Linked DNA regions of Oryctolagus cuniculus. The protein of the gene in region 3 binds, or shares a complex with, the protein of the main gene of each other region. Links are inferred from orthologs where the notes say so. Each region holds a gene or a part of one and is shown on either strand. Other genes may lie near its edges. The genes, in order: E2F2, LIN52 and TFDP2.

Region 1 (3,645 bases), on a different chromosome or scaffold from region 3:
AACTGGGCGGCGGAGGTGCTGGCCGTGCAGAAGCGGCGCATCTACGACATCACCAACGTGCTCGAGGGCATCCAGCTCATCCGCAAGAAGGCCAAGAACCACGTCCAGTGGGTGTGAGTGCCCGCGCGGGCCATGGGGCCGGTGGTGGGCGGGGCTGGGGTGCCAGTGCCCGCCAGGCTGTGGGGGCTCAGCGGTGGGCGGGGCCGGGGCGGAGAGAGCCCCTGGCTGTGAGGTCAGGGCCAGGGCCGGGGTGTGAGTGCCTGGGATGTGGGGGCCGGGGTGTGGGTGCCGGGGTGTGAGGGTCAGGGCCAGGGCCGGGGTGTGGGTGCCGGGGTGTGAGGGTCAGGGCCAGGGCCAGGGCCGGGGTGTGGGTGCCGGGGTATGAGGGTCAGGGCCAGGGCCGGAGTGTGGGTGCCGGGGTATGAGGGTCAGGGCCAGGGCCGGGGTGTGAGTGCCTGGGATGTGGGGGCCAGGGTGTGAGGTCAAGGCTAGGGCCAGGGTGTGAGTGCCGGGGTGTGAGGGTCAGGGCCAGGGCCGGGGTGTGGGTGCCGGGGTGTGAGGGTCAGGGCCAGGGCCAGGGCCGGGGTGTGAGTGCCTGGGATGTGGGGGCCGGGGTGTGAGGTCAGGGCCAGGGCCAGGGTGTGAGTGCCTGGGATGTGGGTGCCGGGGTGTGAGGGTCAGGGCCAGGGCTGGGGGCAGAGCCACTGCTGGAGAGCTGGGTGGAAGGGCAGGTGCACTCCCTGGAGTAACAGGAGGTGGGAAGCAGGATGGAGATGATCTCCAGGAAAAGCAAAGGCCTAAAAGGACCCCAGCTCCTTCCTCTTGGGTGAGGACTCCCCAGGTCCCCATCTCCTAGCTCAGGGAAGTCCCGGGAAGCTGAGAAGGCCTAACCCAGCCTCCATCTCTGAGACGTGAGGACCAGGGCCTCCTCTTCCCACTCCTGCAGGGTCTGAAAGAGCAGACCTACAGTCCCTGGCGTGGATCCTGAGAGAACCCAGGCAAGGGACTCAGGACTGGGGTCACTGTGGTCCCCTGCCCTTTGGGGGAGGCTGGGCATTAGGGATGGACCGAGTGGAGAGCCCCCCAGAAGCGGGGTTCGGGCCTCGACTTCCAGTTCCAATCCCTGAGAGTGATGGTGACCATGTGATGTACACACCCCGGGGCCACCATCATGCACCTTGACCTGGCCTTGACCTGGAGCTTCACCCCTACCTTCTCTGCAGCCCTGGGGTTGGGGGTGGGACTCTGGGTGTGGATTGACACTGACACTGGCGGTGGGGGGCTGCTCTGTTCCCAGAGGCAGGGGAATGTTTGAAGACCCCACCCGGCCCGGGACGCAGCAGCAGCTGAGGCAGGAGCTGAAGGAGCTGACGAGCACGGAGCAGGCCTTGGACCAGCTCATCCAGGGCTGCTCTCTGAGCTTAAAGGACCTGACCGAGGACAAGGCCAACCAGAGATATCCTGTGCTGTGGAGGGGCCGGCGCAGGGCCTGCGTGTGCTTCTGTCCCACCGCCTCCCAGGGCTCTGGCCATCTGTCTCTTTCTCCGTGGTTTTTCCTCTCAAGCCTGTTAGAGTTACCTTTTCATGATTCAAAATGGGACAAATACATTTTTTAAAGATTTATTAAATTTTTAAAAGACAGAGTTACAGAGAGAGAGAGAGGGAGAGAGGGAGAGAGAGAGAGAGAGAGAGAGAGAGGTCTTCCATCCCCTGGTTCACTCCCCAAATGACCACAATGGCCGGAGCTTCTTCTGGGTCTCCCATGTGGGTGCAGGAGCCCAAGGACATGAGCCATCTTCTGCTGCTTTCCCAGGTGCATTAGCAGGGAGCTGGATTGGAAGTGGAGCAGCTGGGACTTGAACCAGTACCTGTTATGGATGCTGGCACTGCAGGCAGCAGCTTTACCTGCTACACCACAGTGGTGGCCCTGAGACAAGCACACTTCTCTTTTTCTTTCTTTTTTTTTAAGGTTATTTTTATTTATTTGAAAAGCACAGTTACAGAGAGGCAGAAGTAGAGAGAGACAGAGAGAGAGAGGTTGGTCTTCCATCTACTGGTTCACTCCTCAGATGGCTGCAACAGGTGGAGCTGCACCGATCTGAAGCCAGGAGCTTCTTCCGGGTCTCCCATGCAAGTGAAGAATTCCAAGGACCTGGGCCGTCTTCTACTGCTTTCCCAGGCCATAGCAGAGAGCCGGATCAGAAGTAGAGCAGCTGGGACTCGAACTGGTGCCCATATGGGATGCTGGCACTGCAGGCAGCAGCTTTACTTGCTACCCCACAGCACCAGCCCCAAGTATATTTCTTTAAATCTGCAAAATATAGAACAAAAAAGAAGCCGTGGGCTGCCAGCCTAACACATCATCGCTTCCTTACGAGGCTCGGGGACCCTGCTGCACATTGCATTTTTTGTTCTGTTCTTCTCCAATTAATACTGTAGACGTTTGTATTTGCCATTACATATCCACAGGAAAATGCCAGTATGCAATCACGACGTACCCGTGAGAAAGCAACTTCACATGACTCAATCTCTTTTTCACCTGTCTATAAACTGACTTCAGATTGTCTTATAGAATGAGTATGTGGAACAAGTCTAGGTTTCTGCTTTCATAGAGGTGAATATCTTTGTGTGTTGGACATTGCCCCCTTATTGTCACTTATTTCCCTAAATCAGATTCCTGGGATGCAAGCAATGAGGTCAGAGAGCATGGTTTGTGCATTTTCCCAAATGGTTTCACATCTAATTGGCTTTTGGATCTAGCCTGGTATTTTTGGAAGGATGTTAGGCATTGTGAGAAATATAAAGAAGCAAATCTTCCTGTCTTCTCAGAGCTAAGATCTTTTTGAGAGGAAGCCTTTACATAAAAAATTGATATAAGGCAGCATATTTTAAAGATTTTTAATTAATTTATTTAAGAGGTAGAATTACAGACAGAGGGAGAGACAGAGAGAAAGATTTTCCATCTGCTGGTTTACTCCCCAAATGGCCACCATGGCCGGAGCTGGGATGATCCAAAGCCAGGAGCTACTTCCGGGTCTCCCACGCAGGTGCAGAGGCCCAAGCACTTGGGCCATCTTCCAGTGCTTTCCTAGACACATTAGCAGAGAGCCGGATGGGAAGTGGAGCAGCCGAGACTCAATCCGGTGCCCATACGTGTTGCTGGCACCGCAGGCGGAGGCTTAGCCCACTACGCCACAGCACTGGACCCATGGGCAGCATTTGAAAATGATGCACACCTCCTTGGGCTGTCTAAAAGTATCCAAAGGAGCTTATGACATTCAAAGAAGAGGTTACAGTTCTGAGTTATTTCTAAGCAGTGTGAGAAAGCGGGAGTCAGAGGCTTGGGCCCCGCCTGGCATCTGGGGTCTGCACTTTGCCCAGCGCTCACTTTTCTTGACTCTGCCCCTACGCTGGCCTACGTGACGTACCAGGACATCCGTGCTGTCGGCAACTTCAAGGAGCAGACGGTGATTGCCGTGAAGGCGCCGCCGCAGACGAGACTGGAAGTGCCTGACAAGACCGAGGTGAGAGCAGGAGCCCCTGGGGCAGGGTCCTGGGCCGCTCTGTGCGCGCTGCCCTGGCACTGCCCGTGCCAAGCTTCCCTGGGATGTCCGTGCCGCTGTCCGTGGCAATAATGGTGATGTC
Region 2 (3,745 bases), on a different chromosome or scaffold from region 3:
CAGAGCCAGAGTTGGGGAAAACAGCTTAGCAAGTGTCTGCCTGTGGTGAAAACCTGGTGCACACTCCCAGAGCGAGATTCAAAGTTCACTCGCTGACCCTCGCCCCTCGAGAACCCCCTCCCTCCCTTACCTCGGTTCACGGGTGGGGAAAGGGAGCCATTTGGACGCTCCTGGCGGGCGAAAGAGCTCTAAGAGAGGGGAGTTTATGCGAGAAAACGAAGTGGCTGGTGCAGAAGTGACAGGGAAAGGCAGTGGGCGGGCCGAGAGGTGACAGCAAGAGTGGCAGCAGGGACCGGGTAGGGCTGAGGACGGTGGGCGAGAGCCAACAAGCAGGAAGCCCCGGAGTAAACGGGTGAAAGTCCCGGGAGGCATCCAGACTAGGGGAGGTACGGGGTGGGGGTGGGGGAAGGAGGAAACTAGGCCGCTGGGCTGGGAGGGGAACACCAGGGTCGGCCAAGAAGGGGGCTGGGCCAAGAAGTCGGTCCCGCCCGAGGATGGCTCAGAGTGGACGGAAAGCATCCAAGTCCCAGCTTCGTGGTCCCTCGGTGCCACCCTCACTCGCCTGCAGGATCCGGGCCCGCACTGCCGCCGCCACCACCACCGCCGCCATGGTTCTCGGCCGCCTCTTCTACGCTCCCCCAGCCTCCACCGCCCGCGCTAGCCAGAAACACTACAGCTGCCAGGCCTCCCCCTCCATCCTGCCCGACCTTCTCATTCGTGGAGAGGAGCATTTCCTCTGGCCAATCACTCTCTAAAACACCTGACTCCACCCCCGCAGGCCTGCTCCTGCGGATATGTGATTGGTCAAAAGCGAAAGCGCTCTCGCCCCCTCCCACCTCAGAGAATTCTATTGGCGGAGGTAGGGAAGACGCCCCTACCTGGGTACTCTGTATTGGACACGGAGGGGAGACGCCCCCTAACCTGGAGTTCTGATTGGCTACAGCCACGACCAGGGTTCCACCCCCTACCGAGGAAAGTAAATAAGACCCTCCAAGAATTTTGCAGTCGCTCCGCCTCCGCAACAGCACGAGGGGCAGGGCTGTCGCTAGGGGCGGGGCTAGGCAAGGACTGTCCTATGGGGAGGAGAAACGAGACTGGGCTGCGAGTTGGCGATAGGGTTTCGCTTTGGGGGCGTGGCTTAGGGGTCCTCGCTTTCCCGCCGACGGTTGGCCACGTCACGTGACATGGGTTGGAAGATGGCGTCTCCCACAGACGGTAAGAGCCGGCTTAGAGACCCTTGGCCTGCAACCTCCTCCTTTGCTCCCATTGAGAACTTCCACTCTCCATCTGCCCCTCGAACGTACACTTCTTTCTCGGGAACCTCTCCTTTCCCTTTTCCTTGGTTTCACCTCGCCGGTTCTTCACATCCGCTGAGAGGCGCCGGGTTTCCCCGCTGTGTACCCTGCAGGTGGAGGAGAGCACCCACGTAGGGCAGAAGGACAGTGGTCTCATTGGCCCTCCTTTTTCCCTATTTGGCTGAAGTTGAGGGACGAGGAGGAGATACTGCTGAGAGAAAGGAGGTGCCTTGTTATATATAGTTTTCTGCTCCTCCGGGTGCACCGCTGATGTATCATCTCTGCTCGCACTGAGCACTGATCGAACTATCCTCAAGTCCTAGCTGGGTTGGTGGCCGACCCCGTCCGGGGACTGAATTGCAAGAGAAGCGGGGACCTTTTCGTCCCCTCGCCGCGAGGGTCCCCAGGAAATGACAGTTGAGCTCTGCTTTAGAGTAGTTTCGCGTACATCTCAGTCTCTGCAGGGGCCGCTGTGTGTGCGGGTTCCCCTGCCTGGATGTTGTCTAGGACGCGAGGTTTTGGTGTATCAGCGCGCTGTTGTGCTCCGATCTGCCCTAGAGAGCTAGGGTCTTGCGGGCTGCCCTTCCATCACCCCATCCCCAGGTCAGGTTCATTGATGTGCAATTTCCCCTCCTCGACCACAGAGTGTTTTTGGAAGAAATCTTGGGGAGGGCGTTTTTTTTTTTTTGCAGAGGTTTCATATTCTATATTGACACCATTGAAGAAAAATGAAACAATAACGAGACATAAGATTGGCAAAAATCAAAAAGACTAATGAGACCGGTTTTGTTACAGGTTGTCAGACGACCACATGAAAGTGTAAAGCAGTACTTCCTTTTTACCGAGTGACATGGAGATTGCTATCTAGATTACAGGGTTGTCTGAGTTTGAATTTCAATACCCTAATTATGGATTCTTAAATTTCTTCCCTGGAAGACAATTTGGCCTCAGGCCGATTAGCAATCTAAAGGAGGGGGTAGGAAAAAGCACCTAAGATCTCTTCCGCTGTCTCCTGGCTACCCTGGTCAACACCAGAGCAAGGTGCTGAATGGCTCACTGCAGAGATGATGGGACCTTGCGGGAGTTGTGTGGGGGTGGTCTACAAAATGGCTGCATCTTGGAACAGCTTGGTCAGAGCATGCCATTAGGGGAGGATTGGAAGACTGGATTATTGCGTCAGTTGATGGCCCCAGTGCCAGGAGAGGAGAGAGGTATACCAGCCTTCCCATGTGTGCCTCATTTTTACTCCAAATCTGACACCGATCATCCTGTCAAAATATTATGGGCTTACTCAACATATATGAAAGGCGTTAATACCAGGTGCTTCCGAAAATGTAAAAACGAATCAAACATGTAAACTTTTTTTCTCCCAGTTCCAGGTTTCTTTTAGATGTTGTTCCCCAAAGAGGCTTTTCCAGAACACAGTGTTGGAGTTGCCCCTCTCCCCTGTTTAAATATCTCAGTATCTTCACTGATGGCATTGTTATTCTGTTAGTTTTTCCTCTTTCACAGTAGATTATAAATTCCAAGTCTGTCTTGTTCACAGCTGAATCCTGGGATTCAGCAGCACAGTGCCTGATTTAGCATCTTAAGGCTCAATTAACATTTATTGAATCAAAGAATATATAGAGAGAGGAAATAATGTTTTGCTTGACCTTAAGTTTAACTGAGTTGTAACTTTTTGAGCATAGGTACATACTGTGTAAGAAATTGTGAATAATAGGGCCGGCGCCACGGCTCACTAGGCTAATCCTCCGCCTTGCAGCGCCGGCACACCGGGTTCTAGTCCCAGTAGGGGCCCCGGATTCTGTCCCGGTTGCCCCTCTTCCAGGCTAGCTCTCTGCTGTGGCCCGGGAGTGCAGTGGAGGATGGCCCAAGTGCTTGGGCCTTGCACCCCATGGGAGACCAGGATAAGTACCTGGCTCCTGCCTTTGGATCAGTGCGGTGCGCAGGCCGTGGCGGCCATTGGAGGGTGATCCAACGGCAAAGGAAGACCTTACTCTGTCTCTCTCTCTCTCACTGTCCACTCTGCCTGTTAAAAAAATAAATTAATTAATTAATTAAAAAAAAAAGAAATTGTGAATATTTAGAATCAGACAAGATTCTGCTAAATCCTCTGGCCAGAAAAAGAAGCGGGGAGGAGTTATTTTAAAAGTCAGCCAAAGGAGTCTGGTGCCGTGGCTCAATAGGCTAATCCTCTGCCTGCGGCGCCAGCACACCGGGTTCTAGTCCCGGTCGGGGTGCCAGATTCTGTCCCAGTTGCCCCTCTTCCAGGCCAGCTCTCTGCTGTGGCCCGGGAGTGCAGTGGAGGATGGCTCAAGTACTTGGGCCCTGCACCCCACGGGAGACCAGGAGAAGCACCTGGCTCCTGCCTTCAGATCAGTGCAGTGCGCCGGCCGCAGCGGCCATTGGAGGGTGAACCAACGGCAAAGAAAAATCTTTGTCTCTCT
Region 3 (3,745 bases):
TGTACGTAATTTTGCAGAAAATTTCTGGGGGGGGGGCAGTGCTGTGGCGTAGCGGGTAAAACTGCTGCCTGCAGTGCCAGCATCCCATATGGACGCCAGTTCGAGTCCTGGCTGCTCCACTTCTGATCCAGCTCTCCACTACGGCCTGGGAAAGCAGTAGAAGATGACCCAAATCCTTGGGCCCCTGCACCTACACAGGAGACCCAGAAGAAACTCCCGGTTCCTGGCTTTGGATCAATGCAGCTCCGGCTGTTGCGGCCAATTGGGGAGTGAACCAGTGAATGGAAGACCTCTCTCTCTGTCTTTCAAATAAATAAATAAATCTTTAAAAAAAAAAAGTTTCTAAGGGTTCACAAATCTACTTCTAAATATACTAGAGTGTTACGGATCCCAGATTAAAATGGAAAAGACTCAAGTATGAATTGATATATTAACAATTTAATAATCTTTAAAATCTATTACAACTTAAAATTCTGATCTCAAAGAACTCTCAACTTATGTTTTCTAGATTCCTCTGAGATTTACTATGATACATGTTACAATAAGCATTTAAGTGATGATGGCTTACAGGGGGTATAAACTCCATTTCAAGTCACACTAAAAGCACAGAGCCCAGATAAGCATTTTGGCCACAGTGCGAATACTTCACTGTGCTACACATTCCAAAGAAGGGGTCTGTGGTGGTGGGGGGGTACAACTGCATGATCACAAAATGGTCATGCCACACACTAGCGAAATTCAGCTTTCCTTCTTAAACAAACAACTAGAAACAAAGAGAACTCGAAAATAAGAGTTGAGTAAGTCTTGGGCCTTTCTGTACAAGTACCACACTGCTGCAACTGTATGCCAGGGCAGTGCTCCCAGCCATGATGGCTGCCATTAGACCAGACCAGTTCCAGGCACAAGATGTTCTACCACACAACAAACACAGCCAGTGCCAGTGCCCAAGTGCGATAGAATCTGGGGTCTGGGTATTTGATTTTTCTCCTGGTGCTATTTGAGAGTGGACACTGTCATTAAAGATTAATTATAGTAATGTGATAGCGATAAAGCTTTCGCTAAACCATAGGCCAGCCAACGACATGGAACAGCAAGATGCAACACAGATTCAACTACTCTGATTCTGAACAGAGACAGGTAGGGTCATGATTATGTCCTTTTAGAGAACAGGTGAATAATTCCAATTATATTTATTAGGCAAAATGACTAAGATGAAACCATTAAGAGAAAAGAAAAACAAGTGACCCAGAAAAAATTAGGTAATAGAAATCAAAGGAAAAGTCATGAAACTAAGATCTGGGGGAGAGGGGAGAAGGCGGAAGAGGGAAGATGGGGGGAGAGGGGAGATGGGGGAGAAGGAGCCACGCACCCACTGAAGCAAGCAAGCAGGTGGCAGAGGGCGTCTGAGCCGTCTGCGAGGGAAACGGAAGAGGAGAGCGTTCCGGGCTTCGGCGGAGCTTCGGCGGTGAGTGGGCAAGGGGCAGAGAAAAGGATCCTCTCGCGAACCCGCGCTCGCGGCAGTCAGAAGCGAGGGTGCCCACCTCGTGCCCTGCGCTGCCGGGCGGCGAGCTCGCGCCCCGGGCGTCCCTGACCCAGGCGGCCCCAGACTTCCCTCGGCGGCGGCGCCCACGCCGAGGTCCCCCAGCTCGAGCAGACGGAGACCTCACAACGCGAGCGCGCGGCGTCTCGGCGCGGTCCCACCCAAACCCTGCCGCTGCCCGGCGGACGGGCACCTCGGCTCTCCGGGATTTCTCCAGCCGTCTGGGCCCACAGAGCAATGCCAAAGTTCCCTTACGGGGCACAGGTACACACAAAGCCTCCCAACTCTTAAAAACAACAACGAAACCCTGGCGGAGGCAGACGGGGGGTCGCGAAGCAGGGGGCAAAGTCAGCAGCCAGAACCCGAAGCCATCGCTCCCTACGGCCAGGACGGGAAGGGGGAAGACACCCTCTGCCCGCCTCGCCGAGGCGTGACTCAGGGACCTCACCTCCCCCAGTTTGCAGGCTGCGCGAGGAAGGGTGACCTCCCTGCCTGCCCAGTCTCGCCCGGACACTCAAGGGTTACTCCGCCAGGCCTGAGGAGCCCGTGGGATTCCCGGGGGTCCCCCGGCGTACGCAGCGCGCCGGGCCGGGTCCAGAGGCCCTCGGCACGCGGGCCCGCGCCCTCGCCCCGGACCTTACCGCCGCTCGGCTGCAGAGGACCCGGCGGCCGCGCGAGGCTGCAGGGCCGAGCCGGGGGCGCGTCTTCGGGCGCCGCCGATCCTCTGGCGCCCGGGTCCCGGCGGACTCCCACCCAGGCAGCCGCGGCCTTGCCCCGGTCGAGGCCCCCAGGAGTTCGAGGCCCCGGCACGCCGACCTCGCGCCCGCGCGCGCCCTCAGGGCTCGGTCAGGGCGCGCCCCGCGTGCCGGACAGCGGCCGCACAGCAGCCGAAAGCGCTGCCGACTTCGTCAGCCCGCACTCGGCTCGGCGGCCTCCCCGCTTCCCCCGCGCGAGCTTTGGCGGCGGAGCAGCACGATGCACGGCCATTGGCCGGTGAGAGGCGTGACGTAGGGCGCCGCTCCCCACGGATTGGCCGGTCCCGGCGGTGCGTGCAAAGAGTAAACAAACCCCGCCCCCAGGCTGCCCAATGATGGGAGGGGGCACGAGAAGAAGAGGCGGAGCCTTTAAGCGCCGCGCTCCGACCCCTGAAGTTTCTCCCGGGCTGCCCAAAGGGTAGGTGGCGGTGGCCCGGGCTCTTGGTTCCAGCTCCGATTGCTGGACAAGCTGTAGGCCTGAAGCCTAAAGTTTAGAAACACGCCCTTCCCTCTCGCCCCTAACTCCCCCACGAGGTCCGCCCACGAAGCAGGAAGATCGCAGCTGTTTGAGAGGCGGGAGAAGTGGGGCAGGTGCATCTGGATCCTTCGCATTTGAGGAGTCGCGGGAGTAAGCGGTGAGGCAGTGCTTGGGGCCAGCCGTGGAGCGCCTTGAAAGTATTCGATGAGTGAGAGACTCCTGGGGAGTTGGAGGTTCTTCCCTAGCCAGGCGAGTTAGGATCCACACAAAGCCAGGCCGCCTTGCCCCGGGGCTGCCCGCTTCCCCAGACACCTGTTCCTGTAGGGTCGGTAGGTTAGCGTTACAAGATTGTGTCTGTTCGTTTTCTGCTGATTTGGAAAATTCCGCGTGGACCGAGCTGTGGAGGTTGAGAGAGGAGAGAGAGATGGGAGCTGCCCTGCTGATGGAGTGAGGTGTGAGGGCACAGTGTTGCAACGATAGGCCTTTCTCATTTCGCTCTGCTCAAATTTTATAAATCGCCCACGTGCGGAACACTGTTCCAGGTGCTGGAGATACCTCTGTGAACAAAAAGAGACAAAAACTGCGTTCGTGGAGCCCGCATTCTAGTGCGGTGGGAAAGACGACAGCTAAAGAAATAAGCAAAATAAAAACGATGCTACCTGCTGATCTGAGCTGTGGAAAAACAGTAAGCAGAGTGTGTGTGGGAGGGATGGCTTCAGCCTTAAGCATGGTGGACAGGGAAGGAGATCCTAAGGACGCGTTTAAGTAAACACATAAAGGACTTGAGGGAGACAGGAGATCACCTTTGGATCTGGGTGCGGTGTCGAGACACTGGCCTGCCACATCACAGTAGGGAGGTGAAGTCCTCGGAGTCCAAGAATGCCGGATGCTGCCTGTTGCTGATTGACTGTGACATGCAGATCCCCAGAGGAGTGATTACATTTTCAGCCACAAATCCAGAAGGAATTCTTT

Evidence for each region.
Region 1: TFDP2 (region 3) and E2F2 share a complex: the UniProt entries of both Homo sapiens proteins name them as parts of the DRTF1/E2F transcription factor complex. The link is inferred for Oryctolagus cuniculus from reciprocal best matches to the Homo sapiens genes TFDP2 and E2F2.
Region 2: TFDP2 (region 3) and LIN52 share a complex: the UniProt entries of both Homo sapiens proteins name them as parts of the DREAM complex. The link is inferred for Oryctolagus cuniculus from reciprocal best matches to the Homo sapiens genes TFDP2 and LIN52.

What each region holds. Positions count from the first base shown.
Region 1 is NC_091438.1:147,416,382-147,420,026, forward strand, and holds part of E2F2 (transcription factor E2F2), read left to right. Parts: coding exon 1-113; intron 114-1,297; coding exon 1,298-1,456; intron 1,457-3,409; coding exon 3,410-3,524; intron 3,525-3,645. UniProt on the Homo sapiens protein: Transcription activator that binds DNA cooperatively with DP proteins through the E2 recognition site, 5'-TTTC[CG]CGC-3' found in the promoter region of a number of genes whose products are involved in cell cycle regulation or in DNA replication.
Region 2 is NC_091451.1:20,253,686-20,257,430, forward strand, and holds the start of LIN52 (protein lin-52 homolog), read left to right. Parts: upstream 1-976; 5' UTR 977-1,184; coding exon 1,185-1,215; intron 1,216-3,745. Other genes in the region: ALDH6A1 (methylmalonate-semialdehyde/malonate-semialdehyde dehydrogenase [acylating], mitochondrial), read right to left, coding at 563-610.
Region 3 is NC_091435.1:139,716,262-139,720,006, reverse strand, and holds the start of TFDP2 (transcription factor Dp-2), read right to left. Parts: upstream 2,492-3,745; 5' UTR 2,182-2,491; intron 1-2,181. UniProt on the Homo sapiens protein: Can stimulate E2F-dependent transcription.